Linked DNA regions of Mus musculus. The protein of the gene in region 1 binds, or shares a complex with, the protein of each later gene. Links are inferred from orthologs where the notes say so. Each region holds a gene or a part of one and is shown in the gene's direction. Other genes may lie near its edges. The genes, in order: Ints2, Ints12, Ints6, Ints4, Ints1, Ints9 and Ints7.

The links.
Region 2: Ints2 (region 1) and Ints12 share a complex: the UniProt entries of both Homo sapiens proteins name them as parts of the integrator complex. The link is inferred for Mus musculus from reciprocal best matches to the Homo sapiens genes INTS2 and INTS12.
Region 3: the proteins of Ints2 (region 1) and Ints6 are in contact, whole or in part, in a cryo-EM structure (PDB 8RBZ), measured with the Homo sapiens proteins. The link is inferred for Mus musculus from reciprocal best matches to the Homo sapiens genes INTS2 and INTS6. Residues at the interface, in NP_065799.2 of Homo sapiens: Ile855, Asp856, Pro857, Leu858, His895, Arg923, Glu925, Leu926, Lys927, Ala929, Leu930, Ala932, Ala933, Gln934, Ser936, Ala937, Gln940, Ile941, Glu944, Asn1010, Lys1013, Leu1014, Phe1017, Gln1018, Gly1019, Tyr1020, Pro1021, Ile1046, Ala1047, Gln1048; in NP_036273.1 of Homo sapiens: Ile484, Val486, Arg487, Ser488, Arg489, Phe527, Gln528, Val529, Ala530, Leu531, Leu532, Asn533, Phe541, Arg542, Asn543, Ala544, Tyr545, Ile547, Arg549, Leu552, Leu553, Leu556, Met559, Arg560, Asn562, Leu563, Leu564, Lys565.
Region 4: Ints2 (region 1) and Ints4 share a complex: the UniProt entries of both Homo sapiens proteins name them as parts of the integrator complex. The link is inferred for Mus musculus from reciprocal best matches to the Homo sapiens genes INTS2 and INTS4.
Region 5: the proteins of Ints2 (region 1) and Ints1 are in contact, whole or in part, in a cryo-EM structure (PDB 8RC4), measured with the Homo sapiens proteins. The link is inferred for Mus musculus from reciprocal best matches to the Homo sapiens genes INTS2 and INTS1. Residues at the interface, in NP_065799.2 of Homo sapiens: Pro40, Leu54, Lys69, Leu72, Arg73, Leu75, Ser76, Gly77, Val78, Glu79, Val81, Asn82, Val85, Gly125, Thr127, Leu128, Glu131, His132, Glu166, Val172, Tyr173, Glu176, Arg322, Gln325, Gln326, Arg329, Gly400, Lys402, Thr769, Met772; in NP_001073922.2 of Homo sapiens: Gly561, Ile562, Ala563, Trp564, Asp565, Lys566, Gly567, Ser982, His1055, Met1056, Thr1058, Pro1060, Glu1095, Arg1096, Thr1098, Ile1099, His1102, Leu1107, Arg1225, Ser1250, Phe1251, Gly1252, Ile1253, Tyr1285, His1288, Glu1291, Val1292, Gln1293, Glu1295, Arg1296.
Region 6: Ints2 (region 1) and Ints9 share a complex: the UniProt entries of both Homo sapiens proteins name them as parts of the integrator complex. The link is inferred for Mus musculus from reciprocal best matches to the Homo sapiens genes INTS2 and INTS9.
Region 7: the proteins of Ints2 (region 1) and Ints7 are in contact, whole or in part, in a cryo-EM structure (PDB 8RC4), measured with the Homo sapiens proteins. The link is inferred for Mus musculus from reciprocal best matches to the Homo sapiens genes INTS2 and INTS7. Residues at the interface, in NP_065799.2 of Homo sapiens: Gln27, Lys28, Val29, Cys48, Arg51, Met52, Cys55, Ala56, Ala58, Asp59, Gln60, Ser61, Trp64, Phe92, His93, Ala186, Glu187, Pro189, Ile194, Val218, Asp220, Ser221, Asn223, Glu224, Ser259, Leu262, Lys263, Arg265, His285, Gly294; in NP_056249.1 of Homo sapiens: Leu38, Gly39, Glu40, Cys42, Glu43, Val46, Arg47, Asn77, Phe78, Leu81, Cys82, Leu84, Lys85, Gln88, Gln89, Asn114, Asp115, Pro116, Val117, Ala120, Ile121, Arg124, Val153, Glu156, Val159, Phe160, Ala163, Leu195, Lys196, Pro199.

The regions. Positions count from the first base shown.
Region 1 is NC_000077.6:86,250,955-86,254,669, reverse strand, and holds part of Ints2 (integrator complex subunit 2), read left to right. Parts: intron 1-2,309; coding exon 2,310-2,412; intron 2,413-3,588; coding exon 3,589-3,702; intron 3,703-3,715. UniProt on the Homo sapiens protein: Component of the integrator complex, a multiprotein complex that terminates RNA polymerase II (Pol II) transcription in the promoter-proximal region of genes.
Region 2 is NC_000069.6:133,090,485-133,094,741, forward strand, and holds the start of Ints12 (integrator complex subunit 12), read left to right. Parts: upstream 1-1,370; 5' UTR 1,371-1,492; exon of another isoform or gene 1,493-1,555; intron 1,556-4,257. UniProt on the Homo sapiens protein: Component of the integrator complex, a multiprotein complex that terminates RNA polymerase II (Pol II) transcription in the promoter-proximal region of genes.
Region 3 is NC_000080.6:62,695,065-62,698,779, reverse strand, and holds part of Ints6 (integrator complex subunit 6), read left to right. Parts: intron 1-1,824; coding exon 1,825-2,187; intron 2,188-2,987; coding exon 2,988-3,081; intron 3,082-3,715. UniProt on the Homo sapiens protein: Component of the integrator complex, a multiprotein complex that terminates RNA polymerase II (Pol II) transcription in the promoter-proximal region of genes.
Region 4 is NC_000073.6:97,483,930-97,487,644, forward strand, and holds part of Ints4 (integrator complex subunit 4), read left to right. Parts: intron 1-987; coding exon 988-1,182; intron 1,183-3,422; coding exon 3,423-3,540; intron 3,541-3,715. UniProt on the Homo sapiens protein: Component of the integrator complex, a multiprotein complex that terminates RNA polymerase II (Pol II) transcription in the promoter-proximal region of genes.
Region 5 is NC_000071.6:139,765,613-139,769,327, reverse strand, and holds part of Ints1 (integrator complex subunit 1), read left to right. Parts: coding exon 1-29; intron 30-343; coding exon 344-464; intron 465-831; coding exon 832-909; intron 910-1,384; exon of another isoform or gene 1,385-1,449; coding exon 1,450-1,607; intron 1,608-1,828; coding exon 1,829-1,925; intron 1,926-2,806; coding exon 2,807-2,898; intron 2,899-3,030; coding exon 3,031-3,091; intron 3,092-3,715. UniProt on the Homo sapiens protein: Component of the integrator complex, a multiprotein complex that terminates RNA polymerase II (Pol II) transcription in the promoter-proximal region of genes.
Region 6 is NC_000080.6:65,019,640-65,023,354, forward strand, and holds part of Ints9 (integrator complex subunit 9), read left to right. Parts: intron 1-676; coding exon 677-857; intron 858-3,715. UniProt on the Homo sapiens protein: Component of the integrator complex, a multiprotein complex that terminates RNA polymerase II (Pol II) transcription in the promoter-proximal region of genes.
Region 7 is NC_000067.6:191,606,468-191,610,182, forward strand, and holds part of Ints7 (integrator complex subunit 7), read left to right. Parts: intron 1-1,352; coding exon 1,353-1,592; intron 1,593-3,189; exon of another isoform or gene 3,190-3,715. UniProt on the Homo sapiens protein: Component of the integrator complex, a multiprotein complex that terminates RNA polymerase II (Pol II) transcription in the promoter-proximal region of genes.

The DNA.
Region 1 (3,715 bases):
ATTTTTTTTTTTTCCAGACAGGGTTTCTCTGTGTAGCCCTGGCTGTCCTGGAACTCACTCTGTAGACCAGGCTGGCCTCTGCCTCCCAAGTGCTGGGATGAAAGGCGTGTGCCACCACTGCCTGGCAGGATTTTCTTTTTGTGTGTGTACGGAATTGATATAATTGTTTTTAAGATCATCAAAATAATTTTTACATTTTTATTTATTTTATGTGCATGAATGTTTTGCTTGTATATATATCTGTGTACTCTCTGAGTGCCCGGAGTCTGCAGAGCTCAGAAGAGAGCACAGGATAACTTGGACTGGAGTCTTTGATTGGGAGCCATGATGTTGGTGCCAGGACCCAAACCTAGATCCTCTGCAAGAGGGAGGAGTGCTCTTAGCCACTGAGCCATGTTTTCTCTCCAGCCCCCTAAACATCTGTCATTTCACTTGTAGAAATGACTAAGTTGGATAGCACCTTTTTGTTGGGCTTGACTTTGAATCTCTAGAACATCTGTACATGGTGTACATCTGTAATCTAGTGGGCCATGGTAAGGTGGGAGACCAGAGAATCCTTGGAAGCTCCAGGCCAGGTACCTTGGTGTGCACACCAAACAACAGAAAGAGGGACCCATTGGGTTAGAGAGATGGTTTATCAGTTAACAGTACTAATTGTCTTACAGAGGACTCCGGCATGGCTTCCAGCCCCCACCTGGTGGCTTACAATCATCCATGACACAGGCGATGCACAGACAAATCAGGGTTTACAGGAAACACACCAGTGTGAATGAAGGACACAAATACATGTACACAATAACACACACACACACACACACACACACACACACACACACACACACAAAGGTAACTTAAGTCATGGACCTTTGGCTAATGGTTAATTGAAACTTTCCCACACTTAAATTTTCCCACATCTCTTGTAAATACATCCTGGATGTGATAAGAGACATTTTCTTCTGTGGTGATTTTAATGTCTAACATGGCCTTACTATGTGAGAAATTCTGTTACATATTACCATAGGAAATTTAAGGAACATAGAGGTTATTGTCTTGATGTTTTTTTTTGTCTTTAAGTTTCTGCTCCCTCCCCCTTTGAGACCTATCTTCCTATTTTCTTCAGATGACTTCAGACTTCTAATCTTTTCTTATCTCAGTTTTCTGTGTGCTAAGATTGCTGGGGTGTACCACTGTTCCAGGCTCAACGTTGTCATTCCTTGTGGGTTTTTTGTTTGTTTGCTTTTTTGTTGTTTTTCCCTTTGTGTCTATTGATCACTAGAGGTAAATGAATTCTTTTTTTGTCATACTGCTTTAACAGTTAAAAGAGTCCTTTTATTTTGGTTTTTGAATGTAGGTATGATGGTTGTGTTGGCACATATGTAGAGGTCAGAGGTTACCTTCATGAGTTCTTTCTGTGCTTCCTTCCACTGTGGGATCTGGGAGTCACACTCAGTTTTTCAGGCTTGTGTGGCAACGTGTTTTTACCTGCTGAGGCACCTTGCAGACCAATATTCGGTTTTTTAATCAACAGTTTATACATACAACATTTCTTTTTTTTTTTGTTTTTGTTTTTGTTTTTTCGAGACAGGGTTTCTCTGTGTAGCTCTGGCTGTCCTGGAACTCACTTTGTAGACCAGGCTGGCCTTGAACTTAGAAATCCTCCTGCCTCTGCCTCCCGAGTGCTGGGATTAAAGGCGTGAGCCACCACGCTCGTATCATACAACATTTCTATACTGTTTCTTAGCTTGCCTTATCCTTTAATTTTAAGTATCTCTAAAAATGTAGGTTGGAATCAATTCCTCTTACCACCTCTGTCTCTGTCCCTCTCTTCTTTTTTTTGGAGGGGGGACAGAATCTTACTAGGTGCCAGGGTGGCCTTTTAACTTGAGACTTTTCTACCTCAGCCTCTCAAATGCTGAGATTATACAGTAGCCAGCATGGAGTTCTGAGACTACTGCTACTGTGTGTGGATAATAATCATGGTTAACCTGTTCAGATTCTGATAGGATCCCACAGACTTTGCCTCCGTGTGTTAGCCATATTATAGGTAGTGAGTTGAGGCTGGTATGGGACAGCACACCTTCCATCCCAGCAGGAGAGAAGCAAGGACAAGATGGTGTGTTTTATGCCATCGTAGGTCAATAGATTGAAGGCTAGCTTGGTCTGTGTACTGAGTTCAGACCAGCCATAGCTACATAGTGAGACCCCCATCTCAATGGCAGCATAAACCCATGATTTCTGAGCTCAAAAAGAAAACAATTACAGTTTACTTAAACTTGTTCTTTCTTCCTTGTTTCCTTCTTCTCCCTAAGGTGTCAGAGTGCAATGGAGAGTTCTTTTTCAAGTCTTCTGAGCTCTTTGAGAGTGCAGTGTACTTGGAGGAAGCTGCAGATGTCCTTTGTATCTTACAAGCAGGTACTTTACGGACTGACTGCCAAGATGTAGCTCAGTACAGATACAGTGTCTCGGGAAGGGTCACTGTGTGACCCCTCAGCCTGCAGAGCTGTCTGTGTCTGGGTGTGCACTGGATGTCCTGAGACTGGAGGTACAGGCAGCTATAAGCTGCCTGATGGGGATGCTGGGGCTCAACAAGAGCAGTATTATCTCTCCAGCTCAAATTTGGTATTTTAAAGACTATCAAAACGGGCTGTGGTCCCAAATTTGGGACATTAAGACAGGAGTATTGCGTCAAAATCCAGACCATCTTGGTCTACAGAGCGAGATGATATCTTAAATAACTGTGCTTCTCACCCCAAAAAAACCCTTAAAAATCTAAAAGTTATTTACTAGAAACATGTCTTAAAATATTAAATTAAAGGCTGGAGGGATGGGAAGCTTGGGCCTCACAGCCTCACAGTGCCCCCCACGCGCCCCCCACGTGCCCCCCCACGCGCCCCCCACGCGCCCCCCCACGCGCCCCCCACGCGCCTCACGTCTTTTCAGACAGTTCAGATTCTGAATGACTAGCGTTAGATCAGAGACGCAGTGACGTCTACTTTTTGTACAGTTTGCCTTGTTATAGAGATGTTAGCAGTGTACATTTAATTTAATGATTTATAACTTTAATGAGCTCATAAATGTTCATAATATGTTAGATCAAAAAGCAAAGGGCAGAGGGGAAAAATAAAAACTCCGTTTTAGTTAATATTAAAACTACTAATGAGGGGATTAAACTAGATATTAAATATACTTACTATTACAACAATATTAAATACATATATGTATTATTAGAACTAACATACATTTTTCTTATGTACCTTTTTTGCTTTTGCAGATTCTTTTTAATAGGTATATATGGTAAAATAAAAACAAGAAAATATAGAAATGTAAAGATTTTAATTAAAAAGCTTTTTAGACCAGCACTACTCAGGGAAACATCTGCTGTATTCCGGGTTGTGCTGTCCAGTTGGCAGCCCCCCCTCCTGCCTCCCGTGGCCTGTGGGTTAACTGAAGTGTAGCTAATGTGACTGAGGAACTAGTACTTAAGTGAGTTGCATTTTGGTGACCTCTTGGAAATGTCTGGCTATGGAAAAGAGAACCCTGTAGGGGTCACGTCTCAATAGATAGTGGCAGTGGCTTTTTCTCTTCCAGAGCTCCCTTCCCTGCTTCCTATAGTGGACGTCGCGGAAGCCTTGCTGCGTGTTAGAAATGGAGCCTGGTTCTTGTGTCTCCTGGTAGCCAATGTTCCTGATAGTTTTAACGAAGGTAAATATAATTT
Region 2 (4,257 bases), on another chromosome or scaffold:
CCACTCCCCCGGCCCCGGACCTCACTGCATCCCATTTTCCCTTCCTTGAGAGCCCACCCCTTCATGGCCCCTTACTAGTTTAAAGGTGTTTTTCATTAGTACTATAGAACAACGTTCAAACCTCAATCTCCTTTTTGAAGTTAGGCCTCTTTAAAATGATTGAGTCACAATTTCAGCAGCGTCAATGGCAGTGTATGCTCCTCAAAGTGCAGTTTAACACTCATATAGCTTAAAGTTTGATCTACTAAATATGACAGCAAATCAGTTGTATTGTAACAGTTTATTCTCATGGCATTTCAAGACCATATTTACATGTTTAAAGTCACTTCCAGTTCTTGCTTTTTAAATTGTGGGACAGCACGAGGGAAACTTGACAAATGCCACCATCTTTAGCAATAATGTGGTACGAGATACACTCGTTTATTTTTTCTGACCTTAAGGAATTTATGACAAAGGATTTGGTGGTGAGTATGGCGGGGGATGGAGATGGGGTGGTGTAATTCCCCAGTCAAAGTTAGAGAGGTATGTATTAGGGTATTCTTTTTTTTTTTTTTTTCTTTTTTAATTTAAGCCAAAGCAGTTCTCGTGCAAACTCAAGCTTTCTGTTCGTGCTAATAATGGAAGGGCAACGCTGCTTTGGTGGGGATAGCAAATGTCCCCAAATGCAGCAGATCCTAACTGTAAAATAGTACGCATGTACAGCGTCCAATCAGGAAGGGCTGCGACGTAAAACTATGTCTTTGGGGAAAGTTAAGTCGTGCTCCAAGAGGTCTTTTTTCCTGCACTTAACTCAAAACGACCACACAACCCCCTACCAGGCAAAGCTGCCCTGTTGCTCTACCCACGCAGGGAAAAGACTAGAGGGATGGCTCGCAGCCGAGGGGCCCACGCGTCACTCAGCGGAACGGCGCGAAGCCCGTCCATCTGCACCCACAGCAAAAGCCTGCGGTGAATGTGGGGCTGGCAAGACTCTCAAGGGCTGCGAGCCGTCACCGGTCCCACCCTGGCCTCCAAGCCCAGCCCCGCCGACCCCTGAGGGCGAGCGCGGATCTCAGGAGGCGGCGGGGGGACGAGCGGCCCGAGCGCCCTCTTTACCTGGTCGCAGGGGCGCGGCCAGGCAGGGAGGGCGCGGGAGCATGCGGGCGACGACGCGGGCCACCGCGCCTTCCCGCCCAGCTCGAGCCGGGACTCCGAGGCTACTTCTGGAAGCCGCGGCCTGAGGAGGAGCACTCGCCTCCCAGCGAGGCCCTGAGCAGGGGAAAGGGGGCAAAAAGAAGGAAGAGACAACGTGTCTGCGCGTCCCCCGCCCAACGCCATTCATAATCCGGCGGACCGGAAGGAGTGCCCTACGTCACTTCCTGCTGTCTCACTCGGAAACGTTCCCCTTCCGACCTGTTGCGGGAACCTTTGTTTCTCTCTTCTTAAAGCTGGTGAGGGCGGGGACGGATTCGAAGAGAGCTACCGGGAACCGACCGAGTGGCGGGGCGGAGCGGTGAGTGGTGACGAGGGTCCCCGCTTCCTGGCGCCTCGGGGGGAGGCTCGAGACCCCGCGAGGGGCGGCCGGAGCGGAGCTCCGTGGGCTGTCGGTCTCCTCCCTGCTGGAGGGGAGACCTCATAATTTGCGGGGTGGTTGCGTGGCTCCGCCTGAGCGCTCCTCCTAGTCTGGAAGGACTGAGTGAGGAGGGCGCCGAGGACGGTGGCCCGGGGGACCGGGACCGTGGAATTGTCCAAGACCTTTGACCGAGGGTTCCGGAGACCTCTGTACAGCTCCCGTTTTACATCTCTGTTCTGGCCTCCTTGAGAAGGACTTACCCCTATTCGAGGCCGCCCCCAGTGTGTTTTGATTCCATCAAAGAATTGGCATTTCGAAGTGTCTCTTGACTCTCCTTAGCTTCTCTAGCGCTTGGGTTTGTTTTGGAATTGGGGTTTTTACATCCTGAGTTTCCAGACTTCCCCAAAGGCGAAGCACTAAATGGAAAGAAGAAGTTAATTGGAAAGGATTACAGAATCTTGCAGAAACACGAATGGGATGGTCTCGAGTGTTGTAATGAGTATTGCACTCTCTGCAGTTTCCTTTATCTCATGCACTAGCAGGTGATCAACTTAGAAGTTTGTTTGAAACTAGTAGGCAGGGTGAAAGAGATCTGAGAGAAAGCATCTATTTAGGTAGGGGTGCTCAATTTTGTTTGGGGACATCACAGCAGCCTTGAAAAGGACCATTTTGGCAAAAATCCAGTTGATTCAATAAATATTTTTTAAAAACACCTGTGAAATGCTACTTGCCAGGGAAATTCCTGCATTCCCCCTCACATTCCCCCTTCATAAACTTCTGCTCTCATAAAAGCTATACACTAGTGAGATTAATAATTAAAGACAAATGAAAGAGTAGAAAGTGAATGTTGCAGGTCAGAGCACTGTACACATCCCTACCCATAAAATAGACGATTGTCTTGCTTTTTTGTGTTTGAGTTATGTTGAGAGGAAAAGACAGTTGCATTTCATGAATGCCTTTTGCTGAAGTGACTAGAACTGTGTAGAGTAAAAGACAAGAATATTAGACTTCGGTGAGTTAGCTGAATATAATAGTCTGGTCATTGTTTTCAGAGTAACAGAGAAATAAGAGGAAGTGAGAGAAAAACCATACAGAGTCATCTGCCTTGAGATGGTATTTGACAACAAAATGCTCATGACTGCTGAAGAACAAATTGGTAGTGAGACTAAAGCAAGACAGAGCATTGGAACAATAGTGGCAAGAATGAGAAAGCCAGGGAAAGAGAGGTCCAATACCAACTTAAATGTAAAAATACAAAGTATCCCTCTTGTATTCACCTGATCTTAAAATAGGGGAGAGTAGCTAGAGCTAGAAGGGGACTTGGAAAAGGGAAGCTGGACTTAAAACTGACTTGGAGAAATAAAGAGTCAAGAGGCTGCAAGAGGTCCTGTTCAGTAGGAAAATGTAATTGTTCTTTCTGGAAAGATGGGAAGTGAGTTGACCAAACAAGCATGAGAATGCTAAGTGTGAAGCATGCTAGATAGGACTAATAACCTGGAAGAGAATATGGTATTTCTTTCAGTGGCACTTGTTTGGGTGTAGACGGGAGAAGATGCCAAATAGAAGCATGTCTACACAGTAGGTAAACCTTAGAGCAGTGGGATAAGGATGCTTAGAGAACTGGAAGAGAGTCACGGAACGGCTTGTTCTAGAGTGGAAGCCGAACAGGAAGGGAATAGCATACTGCCATAAACAGAGGTAAGCGATGCGGGGAGATTATTGTGTAGGCTGGCAGTTGCAGTGTGTCTTGCATAGCTACAGGTACTTCCTGGTGTGCCCCAACCATCCCTCCCACCAGCGCTAGCTATCACTGCCACATCCTAGGTTATTGATAGTTTTACAGTAATAAGTATTCATTTTCTTCCTTTCTTTGTTTTAAACAGTGCTTAGGTTTTTAAAATAAACTCACACTTAACATATTCTTTCATCTATCTTCCTGTTCTCTATTTACATGTACATTGTTTATGCCACCTACTGCTTCTCTTTGGTTTGAAAAAGAAATAGGAGCAAGAAAGAAGGGGGGGGAGGGAATTAACTAAAAAAAATATTGTCTTATAATACCCCAGATATCTTCTTGAGTTAAAACAGTGGAGAAGGAAAAAAAAAAAGGAAGATATAGTTTGCAAAGAAGGAGGCTGTTGATTGTAGTCATAGAGAATGGTGTAGCAGACTTCACATTTCACTAGCTGAAAATGAAGCTTTCTGTTAATGAACTAAATAAAATTATTTATAAAATGTTTTAGAAGATCATAATATATGCTTAATTAAAGGTAATGTCAGGGAGAGAGAAAGAAGGGCCTGGCCCTAATATTATGTAAATAAACCCCTGAGGTCAGAGGTTGATAAATGGAGTCATGGAATTTCTAAGCTGAGCAATACAGAAGAGGTTCTATCTGAGTACTGTTATAGCTTTTCTGATGGAACAAGTCAGAGGAACACTTCCGTGTTGGGAGCTGTAAAACATGATGTCATTAGTGAGAATAGTAAAGACAGATAGATAGTGCTTGAGGAAAAAGGAGGAACTATAGAGGAATGTGTTATTAATGACTGGGCTAATAAAGCTAGTTTGAGGAGGGTGAAGGGCTGAGCTCAGTAAAAACACTGGATGGATTTGCAGGATGAGCATCTGTGCTTTAAAGAAGCCATGATGTATTGGGAGAAAAGGGAAATTGGAAGTTGCTGGATAGTTTAGAATAGTGGTCTCT
Region 3 (3,715 bases), on another chromosome or scaffold:
TAGAAAGTAGGTATACTGCTGAGATAGAGAAGATGATTGGAAAAGTTAGAACTCGGAAGGAAGAGAAGGAAGGATATGGAGTATCTGGGAAAGGGAGGAGGCATGGAGTAGGCTTGCTAAGAAGTGGACGATCCAAACCTCGGTGGTAATTGGGACCACTCTGGTAGATCTGGCTCCTATTTTTCCAGCTATTGTCATCACTCCAATTAAATGGCTGCAGCTAACAGACAGTGTAAACTGGCCATTAAGTCTGGTGTTTACTTGATAGATACCATAGTGTGGGATGTTAGAACTAGATCATTGGAACATTGTTGAAAGTGACCTAGCATGGGCTTAAGCCTCATAAAGAAGAAGGTGGAGGAGTTGCTGGAGTGAAAGTTGGTAGACATTGGTGCTACAGAACTTCATAAATTTGGAGCATGCAAGGGGAGTGCTTGGGGTCCTTGTTAAACTGCTTGTTATCATGCAAGTCAGGACTGGGCCACAAAGGAAGCATTTCAGAGGCTTTCCTGAGGCTTCCTTGTAAGAACCTCCTAGAATGTTAGGAGGGACTTACGAATGTACAGTGAACGAGGTGCCAGAGCATGTGCACTGAACTCAGTATGAAGAGAATTGTTCAAAAGTGCAGGAGTTTTTTTGCCTTTTTTTTTTTAATGGTTTTAGAGTTTTATTGTAGAAAGGCAGAGAGAAAGAGAGAAGGTAGAAAGAGAGAAGCCAGTCATGACCACGTGGAGAGAGGGGGAAAAGGAGAGCTAGAGATGAGAGTAAGAAAGTTGAGAGCGTAAGAGCTTTTTTTTGGTTTTTCGAGACAGGGTTTCTCTGTGTAGCCCTGGCTGTCCCGGAACTCACTCTGTAGACCAGGCTGGCCTCAAACTCGGAAATCTGCCTGCCTCTGCCTCCCAAGCGCTGGAGTTAAAGGCGTGTGCCACCACTGCCTGGCTGCTTTTTTCTTTATAAAGAATTAAATACAAGAGATTTTAAAATTACATTTAAGAGGTGAAAGAGTCAGTGACTATCTCACTTTTACACTCATGAGAAAGCAATTTCTACTCCACATTTGAGAAGGAGAGAAGTGGCTTGTTTGTTTTATTTTTTAAATAGGAGAGTGTGGTTTTCATTAAAGCAGAAATTACCGTGATTTTCAGCCTTAACCTTAGACAAAGGCTGAGAAACAGTTGTGGAGAATAATCAGTGAAGAAGTGTTTTCAAATCATGGGGTATAATTCAGAAAGTATGAGAGAGGGAGATGGAAGGAGTAGAAACCAGGTCTTTACATTGAGAGGTAGAATAGAAGGGTTTAGCTGGTGCCCTGGAGGCTGGTGAATAATCAAACTTAGGGGTCATGTCTAAGAATCTTATATTTATTGGCAAGCTAGTAAACTTTTGGGTCTGCTGGTCTAATGAGCTGAAGTGGGCACCAGATTACTTTGCATGGCTAGGAACTGAAAGGATAGATAGAAAACAGTGTGCTCTGAAATGTAATGTGCCTTATTTGGTGTTCCTTGCAGAATCTTGAGCAATAAACACCACTCAGTGTTTACTTTTCTCTTTAAAGAATAACAGGTTTATAAAGATAAGTAGGCTTAAGATGAGGTAGGTAGGACTCTTAAGCCAAAAATGGCAATTTTAGTGGTGTATAAACTGAAAACTGGTTTAGTTACTTTGCTAAAATAAGGTAGAAAACAGGCTACAGTTGTTTCTATTTTAAATATGTCATAAGTTTAAATTTTAGTTATTTGTAGTAATTGTGTTACTTTAGCATTTTTATTCTGTACTTTGATACCAGATCTCACTTTTCGTTCCGTTTCTTTGGTTTCATTTCAGAAGCCACTAATGATTCAATAGTAGATGATGTGGTTGAAAATCATGTTGCTGACCAACTTTCATCAGACATGACACCAAATGCTATGGATACTGAATTTTTAACATCTCCCCCTAATCTTTTGGAACCATCAACCAATCATACAGAGGCCCTTGGTCATGAACATTTAGGAAACAATGACCTCACTGTTGGTGGGTTTTTAGAAAATCATGAGGAGCCAAGAAATAAAGAACAAAGTGCCGAAGAGAATATACCAGCATCTTCACTCAACAAAGGAAAGAAATTGATGCATTGTAGAAGCCATGAAGAGGTCAACACTGAACTAAAAGCACAAATAATGAAAGAGATCAGAAAGCCAGGAAGAAGTATGTATAATTAGAGACAAAACTTACTAATTTCTTTGTCTTCAATTAGGGAAAACCAAGTCAAATCAGTAAAAGCATATGTATTATGCTAGATTACTCATGAAGTAATATCTGAATTCTTTAAGGTTTAATTTCAGATTCAGCTGGAAAACACTAAATAATCTTGGTACTCAAGGTGTTCTAGTATGGGTGGTAGATAGCAGAAAGTCTTTATCTAGAGATGTAGTACATGTACTTGCCATGACAGGGGCACAGAATCTTGACTGTTCTAACTAGGAATTGAAATTTTACAACAGCTAACCCAAACAGATAGGGTGGATAATACTACATGACTTGGTGTTCGGTTAACAGTGTATCTAAGAGGTAGAGCACCTGTATAGCCCAAATTCAATTCTCAACACTGTCTTGTGTGTTTGCAAAGTTCCTCTCTACTGACTGTCACTATGAATGAATTATGATAGTGACCTTCATCATGTGCTTAGGCTCCAAACCAAAGTCGTAAGGCCATCACATGAATGCAAGAGAACTCTCGTGGTACAAGAATTGTGCATAATATTGGCATCCATTCAGAACATAGCTGACTCTGCTGTGGTGGTGTAATAAGAAAGTGGAAGGGTCTTGAGCACACACACATACAAAGTGCTTAGAAGGTTTTATTTTTGGTGATACATACTTTCATGCACATACATGTTAACAGTGGTCTGTAAAAGCTTTGAAGAGTGGTAATATTTTTATGTAAAATATTTTTTGTCTGAGTATAGAGGCAGTTAATTGATTTTCCTTCTCTCTCTTTTTTTAAGAATATGAAAGAATCTTCACCTTACTGAAGCATGTGCAAGGCAGTTTACAAACAAGGCTAATATTCTTACAAAATGTCATTAAGGAAGCATCCAGGTAAAGAAACTTGTGTGTTTCTAAACAATAATGAAATAGTTTTTGGTTTGCATATATACTTGAATTGCATTAGTTAGGCAGTTGGGTTTATGTATGTGCATGGATTTGATTAATTGAAATGTGAATTAGCTTAAAAGAGGAAAAAATGGAAAAAAGTTGCACACGTCCCTTATCACTCAAAATATCAATGTAGAAAGGTAAAAGAAGTTAAAGATGTACAACACCACCAAAAAGCAATGGAGAAATTAATCAAGAATTTTAGAAGAATATAATAATTTACCAGGGAAAAGTCCATAATTTCTCAAGGATTTATGTGCCTACTTCAGCTTGGGCACACTTCTACTTGGAATGCTGAAGATAAGGCTATGTGTTTTCATATAAGTTGAAATACTTAAGTTATTCTACTTTTAATGAAAAGTCTGTTCTGTCTTTTGTTCAGTTCAAAGCATGCCTTGAATTTTTAGTGTTGTTCATTTTTGAGATAGCATCTTCCCACATAGCCAAGCTAGCCTCCATCTTAGGTTTCTTCTGCCTTAGTCTTCCAAATGCTGGAATTATAGGTATGTGCCCACATGCTAATGCATCTTGAATCTAGTTGTGTTCCTTGCACCTGCCTTTCTGTAAGAAAGTAGTA
Region 4 (3,715 bases), on another chromosome or scaffold:
TCCCTGCCAGTGTGTGTTCCTCGGTGGCAGCAATAACAGGGCCCGGCTCCATAAGACGCTATTGACAATGGCAGAGATTGCTCCCTTCTTCACGTATCCCCTCTAGGGAAAAACCATTCCTCTCTCTTGCACCAGCTGCAGTCCAAGTAAATCTATTTTAGAGCCTCCCGAGTGCTGGGGTTACAGGTGTGTACCCTCAGTTGTTGGAAAAACTAACTTTTTAATTTTGTATTTTAAATTGTGTATGTAGAGTTATCATAGAGTGATAAAATGAGATCTTAGTACTCCTGGTGTTTTTTCTTTGTTATACAGATGAGGAAGGGGCGGGAACTGATGTGTGTTTAGTGCTTATCACAGTACAGTAAATACAGGATGCTTTAGGTTTCTCACCTATTCCCCCCCCCCAATGGTCTTGGAATGCCATTTATAGATGAGAAGGCTTCACCTTGCTAGCAGTGTACAATTCTTTTGACTTCAAAGCTGCTTTTTTCATGTTATGTAGTGTTCCTGACTATAATCATCCTGATAGAGAAAATTGGAGGGAAATGATTGTTACCTACACTAAAATACTATATTAAAGAGTAAAAAAAAATATTGAGTATGACATTTATCTTATAGTTTGTTTTCTATGTCTGCCCGTTGTGCCAGGACGTAAGGAACCTATAGTGATAGGTTCCCTTCTATACAAATTTAAATATTTTTGAAACATTTATGTATTGTGTGTGTGTGCGTGTGCGTGTGCGTGTGCGTGTGCGTGTGTATGTTTAAGAGTTGGCTTTTTTTCTACCATGTGGGTTCTGGTGATGGAACTCAGGCCATAATCAGGCTTGGCAGCAAGCACTTTTACCTGCTGGCCTCTGGATACTGTGTTTCTTAAGTTCTATTAGCTAAGCATATGTGTTAGAAGGGAAAAATTATTTCCATACAACGAACACAAGTTAAATTTACAGACTGTTTTCACATCTTACCGTCTTTACTGTCTTACAGCAGCAGCAGGAGGAAATTGCTACCAAGAAGCTCCGATTAACAAAGCCGAGCAAATCTGCCGCTCTCCACATAGATCTGTGTAAAGCCACCTCCCCAGCAGATGCTTTGCAGTACCTACTCCAGTTTGCCAGAAAGCCTGTAGAAGCAGAGAGTGTGGAGGGGGTAGTCAGGATTCTCTTGGAACATTATTACAAGGTAAGAAAGCCTCGAGGACATGGTGGGTTGTTTGTCAGAGCCATACCGTGTCTGCAGAGTGGGTCCATGCTGCAGAAGCAGGAAGGGACTGGATACCAAGATTAGAATGAGGTAAGTGCTGTCCTCAGGAGCTTGCAGGGTAGTCAGAGGAGATAGGTATGCAAATGACTTGCTTAAGGTACTGTGAGCTCTGTGTGAGTGAAGCGAGAACGCAGAGGAAGACTTAGTATCAGCCATGTCTCCTTGCTTCGTTCACCTCTGGAGTGTCGTGCCCATCATCCTGGTGTTCCTGGTTTAATTTAAGGCCCTCATGCCTACTGGGATAACCCTCTTAGTTTGTTTTTAAAGCAAAGTGGCATTTTTTTCTTTATAGAATGCCTTGCTGTGTAGCCCAGGATGGCATCATATCCCCTAGAGCTGGAGTTACAAATAGTTGTGAGCTGCAATCTACGTGTTGGTAATCAAACCCAGGTCTTCTGAAAGAGCAACAAGTGCTCTGAACTGCCTAGCTATCTCTCTAGCTCCTATTTACATTCATTTTTGTAATGAGTTTGTCTTTATATAGCTCTGGCTGGTTTTAACCACTTTCTCTTTCTCTGTACTTATACATTCAGATTAATTTTATAGAAAATGGTGTTCCCAAAGTAATGTATATGTTAAATGGCATAGCATGCAGGATTTTAGGTTTTCTGAACATATTTGTTTTCCTTTCCCTTGCTTTAGGCCTGGTTGTATCTGGTGCTTCCTTAGAAACTAAATGAGCTGGTGGTAGTTCATGCCTATCATCCCAGAGTTGGGAAAGTTGAGGCAGGGGGATTGAGAGATTGTCGTCAGCCTGAGCTGCACAGTGAGCTTCAGGCCATCTTGAACTATAGAAGCAGACCTGTCTCAGGAAACCCAAAACCAGGCCAGTGAGTCTGGCTCAGTCAGGGAAAGGTGCTTGCTGTATAAAACTGACTACCTGAATTTAATTCCCAGAACCCATATAAAGAAGCTGGGTGCTGGCCAGGCAGTGGTGGTACACACTTTTAATCTCAGCATTTAGGAGGAAGAGGCAGGCAGTTCACCGAGTTTGAGAGTTGGAGGCCAGTCCAGGACAGCTACCCTGTCTTGAAAAACTGACAGATAGATAGATAGATAGATAGATAGATAGATAGATAGATAGAAAACAAGTAAGCGGGAGGGAGATAGAGAGAGAGAGACAGATAGACAGACAGAGAGAGAGACTGGATACTGTGGCATATTGGTAATTCCAACATACCTATGGAGGGAAAGAAAGCAGAAGCAGAGGACTCTCCTGGAAGTTTGTATGGTACATGTATACATGCACACGCACGCACACACACACACACACACACACACACACACACACATACACAAATAATAAATAGGAAATAGAAAATAAAACCACAACCAAAAATATATAGGTGAGGGGTGTGTATGTGTGTGTGTATGTGTGGGTGTGTGTGTGTGTGTCACATGTGGATGGCAGTTGATTTTCCAACCAAAATTAAATATTTTTGTCATTGGAATAGAAAGGTAGTAACTTTAATGCCAACACTGACAAGACCCCTCCCACCCCATCCAATTTCATATATATTCATTAAACATCTTTCAATGTTGGGATTGTGCCATGTACTTAACTATACAATATAATACAGAAAGGGACTTATCACAGCAGTCTTCGAGATTAGCCTCTGACTCTACACTAAAATGGCCAGGCATCTCCTTTCCCTTCTCCCTGGAAGCTAGAGCCTAGGCACATGGTCTGGCCTCAGTCAGGTGCACTGCTTGTCCCAGCCTTCTACTCAGGATCTGGGGGTCCACAGAGTCAGTGGTGAAGGGTTCTTTCCAGTGGCTGCCCTAGCTCCCACTCTCCGTCCATTCCAGCAGTGATGCTGGCTGCCCAGTATCAGCCATGTTGGTGGGGATATGGCTATGACATCCAACATTGACTGAGTAGTGGAGATAAGATATTTTAGTGTCAAGTGCACATTTTTAATTTTAAAAGTTAACTACTTCAAGAAGACATAAACATTTCCATTTGCAGTATTGAGTATAACATTGATGGAGCAAGGCTATCTCTTGAGGTGTATGAAGTTAATTTTTCAGAAATGAAGCTCTGGAATAGTTGGATCTTTGGATATCCTTTGTGACGTCAGTTGCCTGTGCCCTGTGTGTTTGATAGCTGAGAGCAGAGCATCAAATGACAGTTGTTTTCTGTTTTTTGTTTTTTCTAGGAAAATGATCCATCTGTGAGACTGAAAATTGCATCACTCTTGGGATTATTATCAAAGACGGCAGGATTCTCTCCAGACTGCATAATGGACGACGCCATTAACATACTACAGAATGAAAGTAAGCTGCAACTAAAAGCTGCATAGTCAGAGCACAGTTCTTCAGTTCTTACAGAACTTACAGAATTTACAAGGAAGTTGGTGTTGATTGGCAAAAAAAAGAACATTTTTTTACAAGATAGAGTCTTACTCTAGCCCAGGCTGTCCTGCAACATACTAGGTACCCAGGATGTCCT
Region 5 (3,715 bases), on another chromosome or scaffold:
AGTCGCCTGGGACAAAGGAGAGAAGAGAAGTAAGGCCCTGCTGGCTGGGGGCACTGTCAGCCGTGGACGTAAAACCAGGCCTCGAGTAATTGCACGTCCCTGGAAACCGAGGGCAGGGTGGGGGTGTGAGTGGGGGTCCCGGCATGGCTGCCGGAGGAGGTGGGTTTTCTAGAAGCAGCGGTCCCCTCCTGCCGTCTGGTTGAGAGGGTCATCTGTGCTTGGAGCGTGTTCACTCACTCAGGCATCCTGTTGGTTGTTGGGTGGGAGCAGGGGTGGTCTCCAGAGTGGCTCAGCCTGCTGGAGTCCACGGCTGCGGGGCATCAGGAGCCTGTTCACTCCCTAGACCTCGAGGTGCTCCGGACGTTCCAGAACCAGATTGCGGCTATCCAGCGGGATGCGGTGTGGTGGCTTCACACTGTCGTCCCCTCCGTCAGCAAACTCGCCCCCAAGGATTATGTGCATTGGTAAGAGGCAGACCGTCTCTCAGCCTCGCTGTGTCACCTGTGTGGGTACACTTCAGGTGGGAGCCATCACCTCCAAGGCAATCATTGTCCGCATGCCTTTAGAGCCCCAACACCGGTTGATGACAGAAGGAAGGGTCCTGAGCCTGAGAGCCACACGTGAGCCACCTCTCCTCACAGAGGCCCAACCGACCCCTCTCTTGGTCACTAGTGGCCACTGTGGGCAGGTGGCTCAGGAGTCGGGGGGGGGGGGGAAGCCCCAGTACTTTTCCATCAGTAGCTTTTGCCCAAATGGTCCCTGTGCAGCGCTGCTAGGGTGAAGACTCCTTGCACAGCTGCATCCTGACTGACACCTGCTCTGTCCCTGCAGCCTCCACAAGGTGCTCTTCACCGAGCAGCCCGAGACCTACTACAAGTGGGACAACTGGCCACCCGAGAGCGACCGCAAGTGAGGGTTGGGGTGGGCAGGCAGCCAGAGTGCAGCCTGTGGGCACATGCATAGCAGATGCTGGGCGGGTAGCCCCACCCTGAAAACCCAGTACTGTTCTTCTCCTGCAGTGGTGTCTGCCTCACACTCCTGCCCCTTCCCTGGACACACCCCCAGGGAACTCCTCTCCGCTCCCACTCTGTCCTTCCTGGACTGACCCTGTCCCTTCCAACCCACTGGTTACCTGTGTGTTCTGAGACATGGCCTCTCCAGTCCTGCTGTCAGTCTAGCTGCTAGACACTGCTGTCCTGTTGTACCACAAGCATGCTACCTACCCTAGCTGCCATGTTTGCCAGCTGCTCGCCAGGGTTGTGTGCAGCCTGACTGTCACTCGTGAATGAGTGACAGTGGCTTCCCACTCTCTCCCTATCCATTAAAGGCCGGGAACTAGTGTGCATTTCCTACACGGGCCACTAGACTAAGGAAGATTATACCCTCGGGAAGGTGGCCACAGGAGATCATGGTGGCTCCTTACCACCTGTCTCCTAATGTCACCTGCAGTTTCTTCCTGCGCCTCTGTTCAGAGGTCCCCATTCTGGAGGACACGCTGATGAGAGTCCTGGTCATTGGACTGTCCCGAGAGCTGCCTCTTGGCCCTGCAGATGCCATGGAACTGGCTGACCACCTTGTGAAGCGAGCCGCAGCTGTGCAGGCTGATGGTAACACCCTGGCGCCTTGCCCTTCACAAAAGCGATCTCATACCCTCACTGTTGTCAGGGGTCCTGCCACCTGCAGAGCCAGTGTCTTGCCTGTCATGCTGTGGTACCAGTCATACTCACACACCACCAGGAGCCGTCCCAGTCTCTCGTCCCACTTCCTTCCAGCTGCCCATGGGGTGGGCTGGGCCAGACTCGGGAACCCAGGTATCTTTGGATTTCAGATGTGGAAGTTCTGAAGGTGGAGCGGATCCAGCTGATAGATGCGGTTCTGAACCTGTGCACCTACCACCATCCTGAGAATATCCAGCTGCCCCCGGGGTAAGGCTGCGGCCCGCCTCCCAGCAGGTTGGCCTGCCCATCAGCAAGGCTGAGGGGGAGCTGGGTCCCAAGGCCCACGACTGCTTCCTGCTATTCTCGTGTGTGAGAGATTGTTTCTCCAGTAGCTTTTTTTGTTGGGGGGATGGGGGGTGGAGGGGGTTGGAGCCTCAGACTTTGAGGGCTTTTCTTTTTTATTATCTTCCCTTTTGGATGGTCTCTCACTACTGTGTAGCTCAGGTGCCTTAAACTCGAAATTCACCTGCCTCAGCTTCCTGAGTGCTGCTGGGATTAAAGGTGTGCACCTCTATGTCTGGCTTCTTTAAATTTTTTTTCTCAGTACTAGGAGTTGAACCCAGAGTTTTGTGTGTACTAGGCAAACACTGCTACTGATCTATAGTCTGAGCATATGTGTGTGTGTGTGTGTGTGTGTGTGTGTGTGTAAATTTGAATGTAAGTTTTTAGACCCGGTGGTGGGTCTCTTTATCTGCTGAACCATTTATCTAGCTTTTTTGGTTTTAAGCTGTGTGTGTGTGTGCGCAAGTAGATGTGCCACAGCCTGTATGTGCAAGTCAGAGGACACTGTGGGAATCCTGTCCTGCCATTTGTGTCCTGGGGATCAGACTCAGGCCCTCAGCCTTGATGACACCAACTGAGCCATCTTGCTCACCTGTTGTTTGAGCCAGGGCCTCTTACTTTTCCCCTTGGAGTTCCTCAGTTTGGCTGGCTAGCGGGGTCCAGGGCTTTGTGTCTACACACCCTAGCACTGGGGTTATAGGCGTGGACCACTCTGTCTGGTGTTTGTATTTGGGTTCTAGGGAATAGAACTGACCTGGCCTGAGCTCAGGGCACCGAGCTCACAGTGTCACTGCCCTGCCTTCCAGGTATCAGCCCCCAAACCTTGCCATCTCCACCCTCTACTGGAAGGCTTGGCCCCTACTGCTGGTTGTCGCTGCCTTCAACCCAGAGAACATTGGTGAGCTGTTCAGGCCGTGGAAATAGATTCTGGGCCAGAGCCTATGAGAAGCACCAGCTAGGACGCAGGGTGGGGGCTGGGGGTGAGGGAGGCTGGTGTGAGTCCTTAGGGCAACTTCCTGTTGTCCCCTAGGCCTGGCCGCATGGGAGGAGTATCCAACGTTGAAGATGCTCATGGAGATGGTGATGACCAAGTAAGTGGGTGAGCGTCCTTCAGCCCGGGGCGGCACTGTGTATACACTCCCTGGTGTCTGCCTCCTTGTGTGCCATTTCTGCAGCCAAGTCCCTTGTTCACAGGTCTCAGCGTCTTCCCTTGGGCTGGGCAATGTGCTTCTAGCCATCACTATCACCATGGGAACACATGGGCAGGGTGACAGAGCCTGTGCACACATGTTGGGCAGCTCGAACACTTAACGACTAGGGAGAGAGTAGAGTGGATGTGGGCCTGGCCCGTGGGGAATGCAGCAAGTCCACTGTCGCGGTGAGCTGCTCAGTGGCTAGTGTAGGGGATGGTGCCTTGTCATTCCTGTACTGACGTCTGGGAGGGTCAGCATGAGGAATCCTGCTTGTAGCAGGCCCAGCTCCGCCAGGCAGCTCCACTCAGGCAGCAGTAGGCTTGGGTTGCAGCCTAAGGACATGACATTGTAGGGGTCAGGCTTGTGTGTGGCAGTGATATTGAGGACCAGGTATGTGCTGTGATTTTGGGGACTGGTCACGTGTATGGCCGTGGCATTGGCAGTAGGTGTGTGGCCATGGTGTAGGATACTGGCTGTATGGTTTATGCCTGGGAGACATGGGACATGGGACCTGGTGGAAGG
Region 6 (3,715 bases), on another chromosome or scaffold:
GTTCAGTCAGTCCATTATCATTATCATGGTGGGAAGCATGGCATCATGCAGGCAGACATGGTGCTAGAGACAGAGTTGAGAATTCTACATTTTGATCTGCAGGCAGCAAGGAAAGACTGTTCCATACTGGGCAAAGCCTGAGCATATAAGACCTTAAAAGCTCACCCCCACAGTAGCAAACTTCTTCCAACAAGGCCATGCCTCCTAAATAGTACCACTTCTTATGGGCCAAGCACTCAAACACATGAATCTGGTGGCACAAAACGGAAGTCTGACTGGAGGATGTTTAGAGTAGGGGGAGGAAGTGAGAAGCACTGCAGTGCACCACCCATGGATTTTGAAATGTGTAGTGGATACTTAGGATACTGAAGCAACCTGGAGCCAGGGGTAGCTGTTTAATCCTTCTGCCAGAGCCAGGGAAATGCCTCCTTTTGGTTGATGGGGAGTGGTTTCACAAGTTTCTGAGAAATACTAACTTTATGTAACTGCCAGAAGTCATCCCATAGCTCAGGTTGAGCTTGACCTTACAAAAGCTACATAGCAAGACCCTGTCTCAAAAATAAATCATATCATACACAGGAGAAGAGAAATAATGTAATTGTCATTTTAAAGGTTGTATTTGTCCTTTCTAACATTGTTCTTTTGGTACCATCTTCTCTCTCCTCAACTTTTCCAGCTCTGACAGTTCGGAATGGAGGAAACGTGTTGGTCCCTTGCTATCCTTCAGGCGTGATCTATGACCTCCTGGAGTGCTTATATCAATACATTGACTCCGCTGGCCTCTCCAACATCCCTTTCTACTTCATCTCCCCCGTTGCCAACAGTTCACTCGAGTTTTCCCAGATTTTTGCTGAGTGGTAAGTCAGTAGTATCCTTTCTCTGAGTTCTGCTTAAGTATGTTCAGTCAGTAAAAATGAAAATAACTGTGATTTCTTAAGAGTACTTAAGACTTCATGCATGTGCATGTGTGTGAACTACTGAAAGTCAAATCCCATACATTGCTAGCATTTAGAAGCATAGGTACGAAGAAAGGATAAGAAAGCCCCAAGCTCATACTGTTGTAATTACCTACATCTGATAAGAAAAGCTAGATCTTTATTTCCATAGCCAGTTTATCAAAGATCCATTTTATTATACCAAGAAGCTGACCAACTCCTAGAGCAGACACTTAGACATAGGTTACTAAGCTTTGACCATGTTCGAAGAGTTTGAGTCTAACTCCCCTGGTCAAAAGAGGGAAGTGGAGGTAGATGTAATTTCTAAATTCTTAAGAGCCATGTGACACAGAATAGAATATGTCCAATCAGTTTTAGTAGTATGGTGACCAAATGGACACACAGCAGTTACTAAGTTCCTCCCTGAAAATGGAATTTTTACATTACCATGTTATAACATATCCCAGTGTTATGCCCCTCACCCCTCTCCTGGTTTTGGTGTGTGGGTTTTTCCTTCCCATTGAATTGTGGGCGTCTCCCTGAGTTGACTCTGCTCCCTTTGGTCAATAGGACTGCTCCTTGTCTTTACTTCTCACTCGTTTTTATCCTTACACACAAGTGTCTTCCCCACATAGGAGACCCCAAGCAGCATTTGCAGATGAAGTTAACATGTTAGAAACTTGTTTTCATTCAGACCCCCAATAAAAATACTGCAGCACACTCCTGGGTCACGCCCTGTGGGCTGAGTAGACAGTGCCCCACCATATCAGGCCTGTGCCTACAAGAATGGTCGTCACCCAGCACAGGGATTGGAGTCCTGCAGGGTCTTTCTGTGAGTTTGTTTTGCAGGTGTGTGTTAGTTCATAAGTGGGCAAGCCATGTTATGTAGAAAAACAAGTTATAGAAAATAATAGAGACCTGGAGCCCACAACACCACTGTCCAAATAAACCCCATCTGACCTAGAAATCATGTTGAGTAGTTAACATTTTTTTAGATATCACCTTGTCAAGTTTCACTTCTTAATTTTAAATTCTGATTTTGTTTTCCTAAAGGGGTTGCAGCTCAGTAGTGCAGTGCTTATGTAGCAGAAAACATTCAATAACACTAAACCATTATGAAACCTTGTGAAGAGCAGCAAATGTTTGTTTTCCCAGCACTTGGGAAGCTGAGGCAGGAGGAGAACAGGTTCAAGGCCAGACTGCTACAGCCCATACCTTGTCTCTTCTTTCTTTGAAAGAAAAAAATGAGCACACAGTCAGCACGTACTGAGCACACAGTAAGCTCACAGTGAGCACACAGTGAACACACAGTGAGCATACAGTGAGCACACAGTGAGCATACAGTGAGCACACAGTGAGCACACATTGAGCTCACAGTGAGCACACAGTAAACATACAGTGAGCACACAGTGAACACACAGTGAGCATACAGTGAGCACACAGCACACAGTGAGCACACAGTGAGCATACAGTGAGCACACAGTGAGCATACAGTGAACACACATTGAGCACACAGTGAGCACACATTGAGCTCACAGTGAGCACACAGTAAACATACAGTGAGCATACAGTGAGCATACAGCATACAGTGAGCACACAGTGAGCATACAGTAAGCACACAGTGAACACACAGTGAACATACAGGGAGCACACAGCATACAATGAGCACACGGCCAGCGCACGTGGCTGCAGTATTGTCTCCTCACATCACTCACATCTATATACTTAGCTTATTACCTTCTCATTGGCTGGCAGGGCTTTTCCTTTTAAGAATAAATCTTAAATTGAAACTATTCTGTCTATATATGATGATAGCATTTGCCTTAGGTAAGTTACTAAAAGTGGAATTACTGGAATAAAGGGTAGGAATATTTTTAATGTTCATTATCTAATACTACTTGCCAAAATATTTTTATGTAAATTATTCCTTTTTTGCCCATTTACCTCTTAAAGGTTTTATATCTCTATTACATATTTGAACTCTGTGTATATATTAAAGATATTAACTTTTTGTTAACATACTTTAGCCATTTTTCCCAGTTTGATACTTTTTTTTTAATTTTATCTTGGATTTCTTTCAGTTTAAGTAATAAACTTTGTACCTTAGAATAATTTTAGATTTACGGAAAACCATAATGACAATAGAGTTCCCGGACACCTTTCACCTACTTTACCCCAATGTTAGCATCGCTCAGGGCAAACACATTTATCAAAACTAAAAAAGGGAGTGGAGGAGCTCTGAGTACTGCTCCAGAGGACCCAGATTCAGTTCCCAGGACCTGCATGGCAGGTCACAGTTGTCTGTAACTCCAGTCCCAAGGGATGGTAGGCCCTCTTCAGCCTCTGCAGGCTGTGCACTGCACATGTGCTACACAGACAGACATGCAAGCTGAGCACACATACACATAAAATGAAAATAAGCAAATCTTCAGAAAAGAGAACAAGAACTAAGAAGTAATAAGAGAGCAGGGGTAGCAGTGTATGCTTGCAATCTCAGCAGTTAGAACCCTGAGGGAAGGAAAATCCAGAGTTCAGAGCTAGCCTCAGCTACATAGTGAGTTGAAGCCAGCCTCAGCAACATGAAACCCTGCTTCAAAGAAGTGGTGTTAGCCGGGCAGTGGTGGCGCACTCATTTAATCCCAGCACTTGGGAGGCAGAGGCAGGTGGATTTCTGATTTTTAGGCCAGCCTGGTCTACAGAATGAGTTCCAGGACAGCCAGGGATATACAGAGAAACCCTGTCTTGGAAAAAAAAAAAAAAAAAAAAAAAGGAGGAGGAGG
Region 7 (3,715 bases), on another chromosome or scaffold:
TGTTGGTTACTGAAAGGGCGTGTGCATCACCACTGCACTTCTAGGTTTATTGTACCATGTTGTCCATAGGTGTTAAGTAGGACTCTTGATTGCTTCTGTCCTTTGGAAGCTTGTCTGGTACCTCTGGTACAATGTGAAGGCTAGTCCTCAGGAGGAGGCTCTCAGGTCAGTTCCAGAACAGGAGCCTCTGTGCCCTGTTTCTGAAGATGCCAACAATTACAGATTTTAATAAGATTTTGGACTTAGTATAGTGGGCTGTACATAGAGGATCAGGAAGGTTCCAGGGTTAGAGGCTCCTCCATGTGTAGTAGGATGTGCCATTCATATTGAAAGGACTGCATCGAGTGACTAGTGAGAGGGAAAGTATGGAGGCCATCAGATGTGTTAAAGAATGCGGACTTGACTTTATAGGGAGTGAGGAGACATTAGAATTTTAGGATAGTGGAGACAGTCTTGCCTTTGTTGTAGTTATGTTTGTGTAGTGTGTGCCCAACTGTTGAAGACGTGTATATATATTTCAACTTGTTGAAAGCCACCTAGCTGATGTGGGCTCCAGCTAAGGTCCACTTTGTGTTCATTGCGTGTGCCTCTCAGCACACTGGCAGCTTATGTGGTTGTAGTACGAAGGAAAGACAGATGGGCCCATCTTTTCCTGAGATTAGAACTAGTGGGACGTTTGTGGTGTTGTAGAAGAATGGGAGGGAGAATTTTAGAAACATAAATCAGTGGTGGAAAGTGAGAGGCATCCATGTTTTTAGTTTTGTTAGCTAGGATAACACATAGGTCATAAAGTAGGCCCAACAGAGAAAATCTGCAGCTGTCAGCTCTTAACTTTCAGCTGAGCAATAAATAAGAGAAAATTAGAAGCGTCTTCCCATACTGATGCTCACAAAGTCATTGAGGGCGTCTGAAACCAAGTCATCAGTAAACCGAACATGCATGTGCTATGCGGAGCAGTGGCCTCATAAACATTCTAGCGTCCGTCACCATCCTGAGTTCTGCTGTGGGTGGTTTCCGAGCACTCTGCAGAAGCAGGTCCTGGGAAGTGCTGTAGCTCTGCCTCCTTAGGGTTAGCCTCATGATTTTCATCTGCCTATTGAAATTCTGGACATGTTTTAAGCATAGCACACTTCACTGGTGTGGGATTCAGAATCCTGTGTTGCTTATGGAGAAAAATGGTGAACCTACAAAGAACGTGCCCGTGAGTCCCCATAACTTAAACAAGGTGCTCTTTAAAGTGTAGCAGTGCACTCTCCCTCTTGCCCCTTTGCAGTACTGGGGACTGAAGCGAGAGCCTCAGTGCAGGCTCGGCAGTCCTCCACTCAGGGGTAACCAGGCTGTTCTCTCTGCAGAGTGCTCTCAGCTGTATGGTGAAGCTGGCCAAGGGCCGGCCCCATCTGAGCAGGTCAGTGGTTGACACTCTGCTAACTCAGCTGCACAGCTCTCAGGATGCTGCCCGGATCCTCATGTGCCACTGCCTGGCAGCCATTGCCATGCAGCTCCCGGTACTGGGCGATGGAATGCTTGGGGACCTCGTGGAGCTCTACAAGGTGATTGGACGATCAGCCACAGACAAGCAACAGGAACTTCTGGTAAGGAACTGCTTTTTCCTGCTGTAAATGACTAGGAACTAGTCTGTTGGCAGATACCTAAGAATGCCAGCACTAATGTTGGACTTTATTTGAAAAGCAAACAGGTTAACGTAATTCTGCAGGACTGGGGATATAGTGCAATGTACAGTGTTTGCCCAACATGTAGAACACCCTAGCTTTCATCACAGTACTACAAAAAATATTTAAAATTAAGGCAGTACCAGTAACTTTTGTTGTTTTCTTTTGAGACAGAGTGTGACTGTGTAGTGCAGGTGTGCCTTGAACTCAGGGCAGTACTCTTGTCTTGAACTCACAAGCACTGGCTGGGATTACAGTCGTGAGTCTTTGTTCCCAGCTACCAGGAGCTTTTTCTAAAAGTTAAACCTCTTAGGAATCTGATAAAAATGCTGAACTAGAAGCCATAACATACACACAAAGGATCTAGTGCAGAACCTTAGCCGTGCACACCCTTGCGAGCTGCCTTGGACCCTGAATTCATGTGTGCTTTGATCATATTGGTCTAGACAACCTTTTTTTCCTTGCTGTCCTCCATCCCTCTGGCTCTTACATTCTTTCTGTCTCCTCTTCTGAGGGTTCTCTGAGACATAAAGGGAGGGATTTGATGGAAACACTCTGTTTAGAGCTGGATATTTCAAAGTCTTTGGCTTGCTGTATAGTATGTCAGCCAGGTTTGTTTTTTATTGAAGTGGCATTTGAGCTAGTGATCTCTGTCCTTTTTTATTAGCACTACTAAAGCCAATTTTAAAAAGAAAACACGAGGGGTTTTTTGTTTTTAATCTAAGAAAGAATACAGTAAAATGTTTGCATCTGACTTTGCTGAAGGAAACAATGCTAGCCCGGGCATTGTGATGCATGCCTTTCATCCAGCACTAGGGATGCAGAGCGAAGGCATCCTGGTCAACATGGTGAGTTGTAGGTCAGCTGGACCCAGTCTCAAAAAAGATGAGAACAGTGTTAGGTATAGAGTTAAATCTACCCCAGCTCTGCTCCACCCTGTCTGCAGCTTCAGGAAGGAGTGGTATTGAGCTCACAGTCTGAGAGGGCTCTGTCCAGCATGGCGGGGAGGGCGTGGCCACCGGAGCCTCACAGGGTGGCCATATCACATGATGCCAGGAAGCAGAGAATGATGAGCACCCCGTGTGTAATCTTTGTCATCGGTCCAGGGTTTCAGCCACGGCATGTGCTGTCCCTGCTGAGGATAAGTCATCCCACCTTGGTGAAACTCTGGAGAAACCTGAGGTGTGAGCCCATGATGTCCTAATTAGGGTGTTAGTTACTGGGATGAAGTGTCAAGACCAGAAAGCCAGTTGGGGAGGAAAGGGTTGGTTTGGCTTACACTTCCACATTGCTATTCATCATTGAAGGAAATCAGGGTGGGGACTCAAGCCAGGTAGGAACCTGGAGACAGGAGCTGGTGCAGAGACCATGGAGGGATGCTGCTTACTGGCTTGTTCCTCATGGCTTGCTCAGCCTGCTTTCTTATAGAACGCAGGACCAACATCCCAGGGATGGCATTACCACAATGGGCTGGGCCCTTCCTCATTAATCACTAATTAAGAAAAAAATTACCCTACAGGTATGTCTACAACCTGATCTTACAGAGGTTCCCTCTTCTCAAATGACTTTAACCTAACACAGCTATCCAGCATACATGGTAATTTTAAATCCAGTCAAATTGAAAGTGAAGGTGAACCATCACACTCCCTATGTTAACTCCTCCTCCTGTCTTTCCTCTGTGCACTGCACTTGCACTTGGGTGACCTCAGCATATGCATTGCTTTGCATGTCTTAGCTTTGTGCAGAGGTTATGCTGCCAGTCAACTTTCACCGTTTGCCTTCCTTGCTAGTAATTTATATTGATCTCTGGGTTTATTTCACTGATGGATTTCACTGGGTGACTATATCATAATTCATTTTTCCTTAATTGTGAGCCTTTTTCTCCTAGTTACTTTATAAGCAGTGCTCTGAGTAAAAGGAATACATTGCTTAATGACTTAAACATGATAAATGAAATATCAACAGAAGGTAAGTCCACTTTGTTCCTTTGTATCGTACTTAGCTATTTGGTGTGATGTGCATAAGCGCATGAGGAGGTCTGGGGA